Canis lupus familiaris: one gene and its partners. The protein of the gene in region 3 interacts with the protein of the main gene of each other region in a biochemical or structural test. Links are inferred from orthologs where the notes say so. Each region holds a gene or a part of one and is shown on either strand. Other genes may lie near its edges.

Region 1 (4,307 bases), on a different chromosome or scaffold from region 3:
TAATATTAGACTGCATCCTGTATGGGGGTGGGGGTGTGTGGAAATTGCTATAAAGTTCATTATTGGGTCAATGGATAAAATTGGAATGCAGAGGATAGGCTTACTTAAGTTATATAAGAGGATGCCCCTATTCTTAGAAAATACACAGAGATAAGATGGGAAATGAGAGAGAGAGAACAAATTAATGGAGGAAAGATGTTAGGGATTGAAGCCGACAGCCAAGAAAGAATTCTTACTACATCTTTGGATATATGAAAGCACAGGGGCAGGACCTGTGGGCAGAAAGAGCTGTACTGGGGTCCTGAGGAGGGGCCCATTATATGCTTTCAAGTTGGGAGGGGGTTAGGGATAGCGTGCGTCTCTATGGAATTTTGGAAGCAGGGTTTCCAGGATCTTGAGGGGGCTGCCTATTGTTGGGAAAAGTCATCTATTATTGTCTAATAAACCCTTAGTCATGAGACCCTTCAGATGTGTATCGGTGGGTCATATGCTTGGGGAATGATTGCCAGCACATATCTTGGGGAGGGGGGAGGGGGGAGAAAAAGGAAATTTCCAAAGGAATTTTTATATGTTAAAGTAGATTTACAGAGTCCTGGGGGTGGAGCTAAGATTCCCTTTTGCCCTTAGCAAAGTATTAAGATGGAGATAGTAGAGCTCTTAGAGGAACATCACTCTGCCTATTTTAAGGACTTATCAATGGACTGCAGGTAGTAAGGAAATTTAATAATTTCTCTTCTGCTTTTGTTACCCACATCACAAATGATAGAATATATGAAACAAAACGTTAGCCATAGATGAATGTAAGGGATATATGTGTTGTTTTATTCTTGCCACTTTTCCATTTTTTTTTTTAATAGTGTACAGGGAACACAGGACTCTAAGCCCAGCCCCTTTGCTAAATTGGTGCATGACCCTGAATGAATCCCTTCCTCTTTTTCTAGAACCTCTTTTCTAAGGTAGTCTCTGGCTGTGGTAACCAATGTCCCGCGACTCAGGACACTTCCTGACAAGGCTTTGGAAAGGTGGCCCCGTGTGCTTCCCCTCAAGGTCTCTAAGCCCACCAGTTATCTACCTACAACTTTCCCCAGGGTGTCCACCCGTCCTCCTTCGTCAGCCATAAACCTGTCCCAGCCCATCCCTGCCGCCACCATCCGCATGCCCAGCGACTCTTCCGAGGGCCCTAAGGTCCACCTTCCTGCAGGCTCTAGCACAGGTTCAGGACAAGCACGTGCATTTATCCCCAAAAAACTACAGCCCCCAAAAGGCTTTGCGACAACCTTTCGACGTTACCCACCAAAGAGGAAAGGCTTTCCAGCGCGGGCCCGACATTAAATGGCTCTTTGGGAATTGTAGTTCATTTGCGAAGACCAGGGGAACCAGGGTGAGGCCGCAAGCCACCCTTCCCAGAATGCACAGCGCTCTTTCCCACCAATCGGAGGCCCGGATCTTGGAAAGGGGGCGGGGAAGAGAAGGGGCTGCCCAGCGCATGCGCGGTACGTGTGGCTGGGGAATTCATGTGGAGGTCAGAGTGGAAGCAGGTGAGAATGGAGGGAACGCGTTCGGCTGGTGTTCGGGCGCCTCTGCAGCTCCGCTCCGCGTTCCCGTTCGCAATTTGGGCGGGCAGGATGCGTGCGTCGGTCTGCCTCGCGTCGGAGGGGAGGGGGGTGAGCCCGGGACCAGCCAGGAATTGCGTCGTGTAAGGGAGGCGTGCATGGGGGCGGGGTGAGGAATAATCCAGAAGCTGTTGGAAATGGAAAAGCTGAGAGGTCCGAACTGTGTGTCCTGGCCTCAGGTTAGGAACAGTGAAGCACACCGGGAGCGATCAAGAAAGCCTCAGATCTGAGAGGGAGGGAGGGGGGAGGATTTGAATCTAAGTGGACGACGACGCTGGGGCGGGGCATTAATAAAGTTGTGTGCGGGAGTAGATTGAAGTTAGGTCCGTCGTGACCTTAGCCCCGCCCTCTCCCTTGCAGTGCATCTCTGGAGAGCCTTTTTGCCCCATTGGTTCTTCCGGTATCTTGGTCCCAGGATGCTCCCCAGATCCTGCTACCATCATAGCAAATCATTCTTTTTTTTTTTTTTTTTCTTCCCAAGACTTTAATTTCATGAGACACGCACAGAGAGAAGCAGAGACACAGGCAGAGGGAGAAGTAGGCTCTCTGCGGAGAGCCTGGTGCGGGACTGGATCCCAGGACCCCGGGATCATGACTTGAGCCAAAGGTAGACGCTCAACCAGTGAGCCCCCCAGGTGCCCCATGGCAGGTCATTCCTAATACTGGAGCGGAGAAATACTCCTCACAGTATGGTGAGGAGTTAAGTCATACCTACCCTAGACTTAGACCTCCAGGTTCTAGTCCTGGTTCCACTACGAAATGGCTTTGTGATCTTCCGCTTATCTTGTAAGTTTGCTGTGTGCCTCGGTTTCCTCATCTGTAATAACCTGCTTCATAGGGTTTGGTGTGAGGGTTAAATAATTGCCATTAGAAGACTGCCTCCTGGTATTAAAGGTAGCTGCTAGTGTCACTTATGCTGTTGGAATCACCATGTAGCACATTCTTTGAGTTACTTTTCCAAACCAGAATTGCACAGACCCTACCATATACAACCTTCGTCTTGGGGCCCACTTGTCCAGGAAGTGGAAGGGTGGTTTAGTGTGGTGTGAAATTCTCTGTGGGTAGCAAGCCCATACCTCATTCCTGTTATTGAATCAAGTGTCCCCAGACCCCTTTTCCTTAGTGGTAGAAAAAGAAAGAAGAAATGGAAAAATTTTGAAAGCAGAGGAATTAATACTGCACTTTTCCAAGCTGTAGAGTTATTTATTAGATGTCCCTCCATGCGAGATTTAGAGCTTTGAAGAATGGGGAAATAGGGGCACCTAGGTGGCTCTGTTGGTTAAGGGTCTACCTTCAGCTCAGGTCATGATCCCAGAGTCTTGGGTTCGAGCCCTGCATTGGGCTCCCTGCTCAGCGGGGAGCCTGCTTCTCCCTCTCCCTCTGACTGCCTCTCTGCACAATTGTGCACATGGTTCTCTCTCTCTGTCAAATAAATAAATTCTTTTAAAAAAAAAAAAAGTGGGGAAATAAATAGCCAGTTTGAGAAGTGAATATGGTGTCTCAGGGCTTTCTCTTAGAATTTTGAGATCAAGATGTTTTGTTTGTTTTGTTTTTATCCCATAGGTGTGAGTGGGTCCAGCAGAAGGAGATATGGCTGCCAAAGTGTTTGAGTCCATTGGCAAGTTCGGCCTGGCCTTAGCTGTTGCAGGAGGAGTGGTGAATTCTGCCTTGTATAATGGTGAGGTACTGGGGGAAGGGAGTCACTGCCCTTTGTCGGAGGATTTCTATTGGCTTGCACAGCCGATGTGACACTCCTGGTGGCCACCACTGTCTGTGAATATGTTTGTGACCCAAAGGGTCACCTGCTGCCATCCTACACCATATGGTTGCATTGTCACTTGAGCCTCTGTCCTGTAGCCATTGGTTCTCTCACAGCCTCTCTTCCCAAAGAGCTTCCCAGCCTACTTGTTGGTTAAACATTCCCAGTTGCTCTTACAGGTTTGAAGTGATGCTGCAGCACAGTGTCAGGATCTCACTGGTGTGAGGATTAAATAATTGCTGGCTAAATTAAATAGATTAAATAATCTCACTGGCTAGCTGAAATGGAGATCTCACGTATCCCCTTCTGCTTTGTGTGGTCACCTTTGGTGACCTTACCTGAGCAGGAACTTTTACTCTGCTGCATTTGGATCATTCCAGACAAAATACCTGCATTGTCCAGCCTGTTTTTTTTTGTTGTTGTTGTTGTTTTGTTTTGTTTTGTTTTGTTTTAAGATTTAATTTATTCATGAGAAACAGAGAGAGAGAGAGAGAGAGGCAGAGACACAGGTGGAGGGAGAAGCAGGCTCCATGCAGGGAGCCTGATGCAGGACTTGATCCCAGGCCTCCAGGGTCACGCCCTGGGCCGAAGGTGGCACCAAACCCCTGAGCAACCTGGGCTGCCCATTGCCCAGCTTTTAACAGTGAGGCAGGAGCTTAAGCTGACTTTTCTTCTGTGACCTTAGGCAAGCCATTTCCCCCTCTCTAGGTCTCAGCTTCTTTTTTGGTCAAACAGTAAGACTCAACTGGTTTTACCTCTAAGACTGCTTCCAACTCATATTTTCTGACTTTCATGGTTGGGAAGCAGCAGTAGATTGATCTGCCTCATGTGTGACTGTCTGGCAAGAGGAAGATTACTTTTCAGAGTGAAGATATTTGGAGCAACTCTGAAGTCTAATAAGGCAGAGACAGCAGCTGACAAGAAAAGCTTACTTG
Region 2 (4,263 bases), about 2.9 Mb from region 3:
ATGTAGTGAGAAGTCTTACATGCTCAAGGTATTAAATGAGACATGTAAGCTTATGGTTGCATATTTTTAGATACCTTGATTAATAATTGTTGGGGAAGTACATCCAAGTATTAGCTTCTGGGTACAGGTTACTAGATGAAAACACCATTAAGATAGAAAAAAAATTAATATTGATATTTTTGCTTTTTGTCCTAGAAAAAAACAACTATATTATCTTAATTCTTTGATACTAGACCTTAGAATACAAAGATGGTTTCTGACCTCTGTAATTCCAAATCTAGAGTTAAGAAAAGGAATAGATAACGGTTATCTATAATTGGTGAGATATATGTTGTAAGAATTGAAGATAAAGTATGAGAATATAGTAACTGATTTTGAGTAGAGGTCAGAGGAGGATTCAGAGGGAGACTTAAAATGGTTGAGTGGAGAATCACCAAAATCTAAGAGGGTGAGAGGGATAAACAAGGGGGTAAGTGGGATATACTAATATACTGAAAGGGGTAGGAGCTGGGGAGAGGGCTTAAGAAACAGTAGATACATGAAAATACCTACTTCAAGAGCATTTCACCAAAAACAATCAAAAGGAAAAAAAAAAAAGAGGAGGAGGAGAACAAAAGACATAGGATAGAATAAATGGTCACCAAATCTTAATTCACACATCTGTGTTTTATTTATTTTATTTATTTATTTATTCATTCATTCATGAGAGACACAGAGGCAGAGACACAGGCAGAGGGAGAAGCAGGCTCCCTGCAGGAAGCCTGATGTGGGACTTGATCCCAGGACTCTGGGATTACCGCCTGAGCCAAAGGCAGATGCTCAACCACTGAGCTACCCAGGCGTCCCTCACACGTCTGTTTTCTAAATCAAACATTTAAGATGTCCTGATCAACTCCACCTAGCTGACTTATTTCTTGAGACTTAGTTCTTCAAATAGCCTGTTGTAGGGGATGAGGGAAGTTTCCAGGCAGAGCAAATGGCATGGAGAAAACACACAGGTGGGAAGAAACTTGGTATATTCAAGAATTTGAGGGGCACCTGGGTGGCCTCGAGTTGGTTGAGCCTCCGACTCTTGGTTTCTGCTGATGTCACGATCTCAGAGTCCTAGAATCAAGTCCTGTATTGGGCTCCCGCTCAGCACGGAGTCGGCTGCCCCCCTCCCTCTATCCCTCCCCATTGCGTGCTCTCTAAAATAAATATTAAAAAAAAAAAAAAAGAATTTGAAAGAGTGCCTAGTTTAATGCCTGGACTACAGTTTTCACTCAGTAAATGTTTATTCAATGACAGAGGACTTGGGAAGTCAGAAACACCTTCTCAGGCATTTAAAAATTAGTTTGTTTTCATTGAGTAGGCATAATCCATAATCCCCCCCTTACTTTCTTATTCTTTCTTGAGCCGTGCCACCCATGGATGGTCGCTGTCCTGTATCCAGTTTACCCGGTCCTATCCCAGAGACATGTAAGAGTGTCTCTCTTAGGTATTTTCCCGCCTCGTGTAACAGACACACGTACACGCTCAACTCCACGTACCCACCTACATGCCTCTGAACCCAGGAATTACTTATTTTACCCGGTGAGTCAGATTGTGCGGGAAAGCCTCTGAATTTTAGAGTGAAGTGCTGAAATAAATCCCATTCCTACGTCTACACTGGCTTCCTATAACAAACAGCAGAATGGCCCTGGACAGGCAGGCCAGTCCTCTACCCGGAGAGCAGGTACAATACTGCGCTACCACGTTCACGGGGCGGCTGTGAGGACTCCCGCGAGGGCGAGGGCGGGGCTGGGGCGTGGGCGTGGGGTGAGGAATCCGGTAGTGACCGGCCACACTAACCTTATTCAGAGCCAGGCGCTGCGCTAAGCCTCAGGGCCCTGAGGCGGGACCAGGCGCGGGCTGAGGGCTGGGCCCCACCTGCTGAACGCTCTCGGGCAGGCCAGCACCGCACACCTCCGCCCTCCCGTCGAGGCCGCGGGGCGGGGTGAGGGAGCGGTCCGAAGGCTCCGACTCCCCGCGCGGCTCCACCAGCAGCCGCGCGCCCCTGGCCACGTAGCTTAGGCGCTCCCGTGGGATGGGGGTCACGGGTCGGGCTCTCCGGGTTGTGGCGAGAACCGAGATGACGTGTTTAAAGGGCTTGGGCGGTGATGTCAGCACTATAGCTCACTTCAGCTCTTAGCATTCCCGCATTTGGTTCTTTGGTTTTTTTGTTTTGTTTTGTTTTTTGTTTTTTGTTTTTTTAATAGATTTACAGGCGCTATCGTGATGTCCGCGGCGCTCGGCTGGGCGAAGCGAAGCTGGTCGGAGTCTAGGGAACCCCCACCCCTCCCCCGCCGAGGGGGCGTGCGACCTCGGACTAGCCGCTCCTCTTCCGGACTTCGGTTTCCCGCCTCAGAAAGAAAATGGATAGTCGGTGTCTACGCGCGCCCGTCCCCCTCCGCACTCTGCGGCGCCCGGCGGGGCCGCGACCCTTCCCGGTGGGTAAACTCCCACCGCCCCACAGGGTGGGGCAGGGGCGGGGCGGGGGTGGGGCCTGGCGGGGGTCGGGTCCGGCCGCCCACCTGCCGCCGCTCACCTCTAGACTGTAGTTGCCCCGGATGGCGGTGAAGTCGTCCAGGGCTTCGGCCGCGCTCCCCTCGTCCAGGTTCAGCTCCTGGCACAGGGCCTGCAGCGCCTCCCCGGCCGCGGCGACTACCGCCGCCCCCTCGGCGTGCGGGTCGTCTTCGAACATCCCCTCCGGCCCCGCGGGCGGCGCGGTCACAGCCCCCCGGCTCCTTTCTCCCTCCTGGGCGCGCTACCCACAACCCCCCGCGCCAAAGCGCGCGAAACTCGGCGGCTTCAGAGCGACGTCTCTCCGGCAGTCTGCATCCGCAGTTCTCCTCAAAAAAGTCCGTTTCTCCTGCAAGGCACTCGGTGGTCTCGCTCTGGAACTGTGATAAGAAGATGGACCTCAGTTCCAGAAAAAAAGCCCTGAGTTTGGTCCTTGGCGGGCAGCGGTGAGCCCAGCCGGCGGAGTAAGTTGGTGCGGAGGGATCGGCCGGCGCGCGCAGTCTGCTGGGAATTGTAGTCCGTGGCCTGTCCTGACGCCCGCTGCGCCGCCCTGGTCTAACCGGCTCTTTGGTTTGGGCCTCCATCGTCTTACCGAGAAGCCTTCTCTGTACCACTAACCCTCGGGCCTGGGTTTGTCACCGTCCCGCCAAACATAGTCTGACTGAGCCTTGCCCCTTGAGTTAGGAGACGGAGGCAGGAACAGAAAAAAGTGGTTCTGTGACGGCGGGAGGCTTCGGGACGCTTTCCTGTGCTCCGTGAGTGATCTGTTGAATGGTTGAAGGGCTGGCGAGGCAAACTAGGCTTGACCTGGGCTGAGAGACTTGCAGTAATCAGCTCCCCGAAGGGCCGTCATTCCAGGCTTGGGAATGGCCTGAGCGCATGGCTGAAGGCATGCAACTGGTCTCCCAAGCTTATACTTCGGCTCCACTGAAACCCTTCACTGGAAGAGCCCAGACCTTGTCACTCCTTAGCTCAAAATCTTTCAGTAGATTCCTCTTGCCCTTAAAATCGTATCCAAACTCAGTGGCCCACAGGGCCCCTGTGATCTGGCCTCACCTCATTGCCCCCACCCAAGTATATAACAAGGTGCAGCCTCACTGCTTAGTTTTGGAACCTTGAAAATGCCAAGCAGCCAAGCTAGTTCTTGCCTCAAGGCCTTTCTCACATGCTGATCAGTCGGTCCCAAAATACTCTATAGCAGGTCTTTGCTTGTCCGGCTCCTTGTCATCAAGTTCAACTAAGTATTACCTTCCCAGGCCCTTCCAGAGCACTATCTAAAATTAGCTGACCCACCCCCCTAACATCCCATTTCATGGTTTTCATAGCACCATTATAACTATCTGAAATTATCTTGTTTATTCACTGGCTCTTCCTACTAAAATGTGAATCGCATGAGAGCAGGGACCTATTTTTCATGTTCACTGTATTACGAAGTTTAGATTAGCGCCTGGCTCATAGTTGGCACTCAGTACTTCACAAAGTGTGTTTGAAAAATTACAAAGATGCCCGGATGAGGGAAGGAGTCACCAGAGATGAAAATGGAAGATAGGTCAAGGTAGGTTACAAAGGACCTCATATACCCTACTAAAAGCCTAGACGTTATCAGTGGAGGTTTTAATGAAAAGAGGTGATAAATGACCCATAGCATTCTGGGAATGTCTCTCTGGCTACAGTGGGACACATAGATCAGATGGAGTAGAGACTAGAGGTGTGGAGATGGTG
Region 3 (4,180 bases):
TGGATTAAAAACATGAAACATTTTTCTCTGGTTCAGTGTCTAATATTCTAGAATCCATTCTAGGGGTAACCTCTGTATGGTATGTGGGTGGAGGACAACCATGGGGGGACTGTTACTATATCTATAAAATGGGGATGATCTACTGTTTGAACATAGAAACAAAGGAAAAACTACAATTTTTAAAATTTAAGGGGAAAAAAAAGCTGTCACAACCATCTTTTTTAAAAAAAAACAGGCTTAGGAAAAGAAAACAGGAGGAAAAATGAATGGTGTTGGCATCCTTCAACTTTTTAGCCTCTTAACTTTTTCTATAGTAAATGTTTTAATTTGCTTTTTAACAGCTATGACAACAGGATAGAGGTGGACAGGAAGTGCCAGGAGGAATGGCTGAGTTGTAGAGTCTTGCATGCTAGAGGTGCTCAATGAATGCTCACTGATGCAGAAGCTGAACCCGTAGCTTGTTTCAAAGACTGCCTCACACAAATGTCAGTGCAGAGGGTCAGAGGAGGCCACAGCTCAATCGGCCAGTGGCTGACCAGAGGTACAAGAGTGGAGAGTCTTGGAGGGGGTGTTTCTGGACTTCAGCTCTGGGGTGGTGCCAGCCCTCACCCCCACCCACCGGCAGAAAATGGATACTAGTGCTTCAAAGCTGTGAGGGCAGAGGCTCCTTCTTTGCCCATTGTCTAGTACCTTTTGGGCAGTTCACTAACTCAACAGTAGAATGGATGGAATGCTCAGGCCCACAAGGCTGCCCCTGACACTGCTGGGGGTGGGGTGGGTACATTTCCTCAGCCCAGTCTCTGGCAGCCCTCTGGGCCTGGAGCTCAGCTTCTACAGCCCCAGGTCGGCTAAGTACTTGTCAGTCAGCTAAATGCAGTTTTCAGGTCCAAGCCCCAGGCTGGCACCTGCAGAGAAAAAAGGCCCCTGGGATAGAGGTGACCCACCCTTAGTACAATCCTCCTCCCTTTACCCATCAGAAGGGTTCCTAACTTCCTTCAACCTGTATTATTAACATTTCTAGGAGGCAAGGCATCCCAGTGGCTAACTAGTTAACAGCTCAGGAAGTCTGGACTGGTCCCACCATTCCACTAGCTGAATGACCTATCATCTCTAGGTCTCAGCTTCCCTATCTGTAAAAGGGGATGGTTGTTGAGAGAGTTAACTGGGTGAAGTGCTTGGCACACAGCCTGACATATAAAACAGTCTCAAAACAATGGTGGCTCCTATTGTTATTATTATTAGCGTCTTGGTGATTCCGGAAGGAAGGCAGAGCTAGGCTGGGCGAGGGGCCAAGGGAGTTAGGGGAGACTTGCCGGGATGCCTCAGGGACCAGCTGCCACCCAGGCCCCCATAAGCAGTTGGATAGCTTCCACCTCCTTGCCCGGGCTCTGCTTCACCCCTCCTACTTGCTCCAGGCCCCCTGCTGAGACCCCCTCCTGCCTGGCTGGCCTGGCCCCTGCCCCCTGCCAGCAGCCTTCCATGCCCCACCTTCACCCACAGGCCCTGACAGTCAAGCTGGTCTCCACGCCCAGTCCTGCAGCTCACAGGTCCAAGCTCCAGGCCTCTAGGCCCTGCTCTCCAGTAATTAAGCAATCTTTTCTGGGGCCCCCAGTCCAAATTGCTCCTGAGCCTCTTGCTGCTCAGGGAGCACTTTATCAAGGCATCTCCCTGGAATATTTACTCTCTCCTGGCACTGGGGGCCTCCACTCCAGCTCCCAGAGGCCCAGCCCACCCATTACTTCCCTGGGGGCCTAGGGGTCTGCCTGCCTGATTAATGAGGCTCCATGGCAACCAGGGCCTGTGAGGGTGGAGGGTGGCAGATGGAAGGACAGGCAGAGGGAGGGGATCAGCAGCTGGCCCAGCCACCCCGCCCCTGCAGAGAAGGCCTCCCAGCCAGGAGGCCTGTCCCCAGAGGCCCAGAGGCCCAGGCCTGCACCTGGCAGTGGAGCATCTAGGCAGGAAGGAGGGTCTCCTCAATGACTCTTTCAGCAGTCTGGCCCCAGGATAGCCCCCTCGACCTCCTCAAGGGGCCCTGTCCACTACCCTGCCACGAGTTCTGGTCTGGAGCCAGCAGGCCTCAGTTCAAATCCCAGCCCCACCACTTGCAGCCGTATGACCGGGGGCAAGTCACTTCCCCTCTCCGGGCCTCCGTTCAGATGGGCACAGTGACAACACTGAGCTCACAGCATGGTTGTGAGTTCTGGCTCGAAGTTCGCCAGAGACCTGGCATGCAGGCAACACCAGCTGAATACACGTGGGCTATTATTACCACTGAGTCTGACCCTCGAGCGGCTCGGGGAAAGCCGAGGCCCAGAGCAGAGGAGCAAACAGCGACTGGCCCGAGGTCACCCCGCATCCCGGGGCGGGGCCCGGAGGCCCAACCCAGGCTCGACCCCGCCCAGCCCGGGAGCCTCGGCCCACCCCCTCCCCCCGCCCCCGTTGCCTCCGGGCCAAAAACCGCGCCCCGACCGGGTCTGCACGGGGGTCCAGACGTGCACTCGGCCCTGTGTCCCTGGTGTCCGTACCGGCGGGCGGCCGAGCGCAGGGCGCGGCGCGCTGGGTGTGGGCCGGGGCGCCTGCGGCGTGGCGAAGAGCAGCAGGTCGGGGTCGCGGGGGCCAGCGGCCGGCGCGGCCGGGCCGGCGGGGGCCGGCGGGGCGCTGGCGTCCTGCGCCGTGGAGATGATGACGATCTGCGAGGAGTCGAGCAGCCGCAGCGCGCCGGCCCCGAGCAGGGCCTCCAGCGCCGGCGCGCATGGGCCGCCTGCGGGGGCCCCGGCCACGGCCATGGCGCTCACGGCCCGCGCGGCCCGGGTGGCAGGCGGCGGCGGCGGCGCGGGCCCATGGCGGCAGGCCGCGGCGAGGGCTCGATCCCGCTCCGCCCCCGGCCGCCGCTGCCTGCAAAGTCCCGGCCACTTTTACGCGCCAAATCCTTTTTGCCGCGAAAGAGCCACGAGCCGCCGAGCGCTCTGACCATTGGCTGTCGGGCCCGTGACGTAGGCGACGGCGACGGGGTCCATTGGCTGCAGCGTGCCGGACCGGCGGCGGTGGGCGGGACGGGGCGTCGGCGCGAGGAGGCGCGGCCAATCGCGGGGCCGGGCGCGCGCAGGCTTTGTCGGGGCGGTGCCAGGAGCTCTCGCACTCCCCGCCCCCAGCCGGGACTGTCCCTACCCCGGGCGTGGTGGCGCGGCTCGCACCCCGACGCCCCGCGGACTCCGGGTCCCGGCATGTGGAGCCCTTTGGGTCAGTGTCCGTTCTGCGCTTCACACCGTATTCGGACCTCCCGTGACCCCCTAGACTCCGCCACCTGTAGCCCCAACAACCTTAGTCTGAATCACTTAGAAACTGCCCTTCCTTTTTTCTATGGTCAGGCCTGTCTCCAAAGCCCCAGCTGCCGCTCCCATCCTCAACTTGCCCCATCTATACCATTTACTTTCAAATCCTGCACCTGCCCTGTCCCTCTCACCCGGAGCCCCAGCAGAAGCGGGCTGTTAGAAAATGAGGAGGGACATCTGGCCCAATACAGCTTGGGGCTTTCCTGTAAGCCCCCTTTTAGCTGGAATCTCTTCAATAGCCGATGCACAGCTTCTGCTTGAACTCATTTATTCACCCATTTATTCAACAAACGTTTTTGAGAGCCTGCTCTGTGCCCCATTCTTAGTTCAGACCTTGAAGAGCTCGGTCTTGTGAAAAGAGAAGGAGAGGAATAGAAGTAACGAATGCTTGGAATATGAGGAGGAATTTCCACCATTAACTCCACGTTAGAGTTCACAAAGGGAGGAGGTAAGGGTGCTGAGCATGAAAATGCAGTTAATCCGGAGGCCCTGGGACCTCTCCATCAGCCATTTCTCATTGCTCAGGTCAGCTGATTTGACCAATATTGTCCTCTCCTCTGTGCCAGGCCTTGTGCCAGCTTTGAGGGCAGAGACGTGAGACTTGATCATTTCTATGAACTTGCCTGCCATCTGGTGGAGATGACCCACGGGGGGGGGGGGGGAGCTAATACACAAACAAGGATCAAATCCCTAAGCCCAGAATATACATGACTTCCTCCAGAGAGCCTCCAGAGTCCTAATTACTCACTTCCTCCATTGCCCAGTGCTGCCTCTGTCCCAACACTGACCACACACTCAGTTTCTCCATCTGCCTCTCCTACTAGACTGGGAGCTCCAACAGGGCCTCC

What was found.
Region 1: the proteins of E2F1 (region 3) and PHB form a complex in vitro, tested with the Homo sapiens proteins (2 studies listed by BioGRID). The link is inferred for Canis lupus familiaris from reciprocal best matches to the Homo sapiens genes E2F1 and PHB1.
Region 2: the proteins of E2F1 (region 3) and RBL1 form a complex in vitro, tested with the Homo sapiens proteins (2 studies listed by BioGRID). The link is inferred for Canis lupus familiaris from reciprocal best matches to the Homo sapiens genes E2F1 and RBL1.

What each region holds. Positions count from the first base shown.
Region 1 is NC_049230.1:25,486,232-25,490,538, reverse strand, and holds the start of PHB (prohibitin), read left to right. Parts: upstream 1-1,501; 5' UTR 1,502-1,538; intron 1,539-3,176; 5' UTR 3,177-3,203; coding exon 3,204-3,291; intron 3,292-4,307.
Region 2 is NC_049245.1:26,323,130-26,327,392, forward strand, and holds the start of RBL1 (retinoblastoma-like protein 1), read right to left. Parts: upstream 2,807-4,263; 5' UTR 2,723-2,806; coding exon 2,567-2,722; intron 2,469-2,566; exon of another isoform or gene 1,813-2,468; intron 1,715-1,812; exon of another isoform or gene 1,576-1,714; intron 1-1,575. UniProt on the Homo sapiens protein: Key regulator of entry into cell division. Directly involved in heterochromatin formation by maintaining overall chromatin structure and, in particular, that of constitutive heterochromatin by stabilizing histone methylation.
Region 3 is NC_049245.1:23,405,723-23,409,902, forward strand, and holds the start of E2F1 (transcription factor E2F1), read right to left. Parts: upstream 2,802-4,180; 5' UTR 2,787-2,801; coding exon 2,526-2,786; intron 1-2,525. UniProt on the Homo sapiens protein: Transcription activator that binds DNA cooperatively with DP proteins through the E2 recognition site, 5'-TTTC[CG]CGC-3' found in the promoter region of a number of genes whose products are involved in cell cycle regulation or in DNA replication.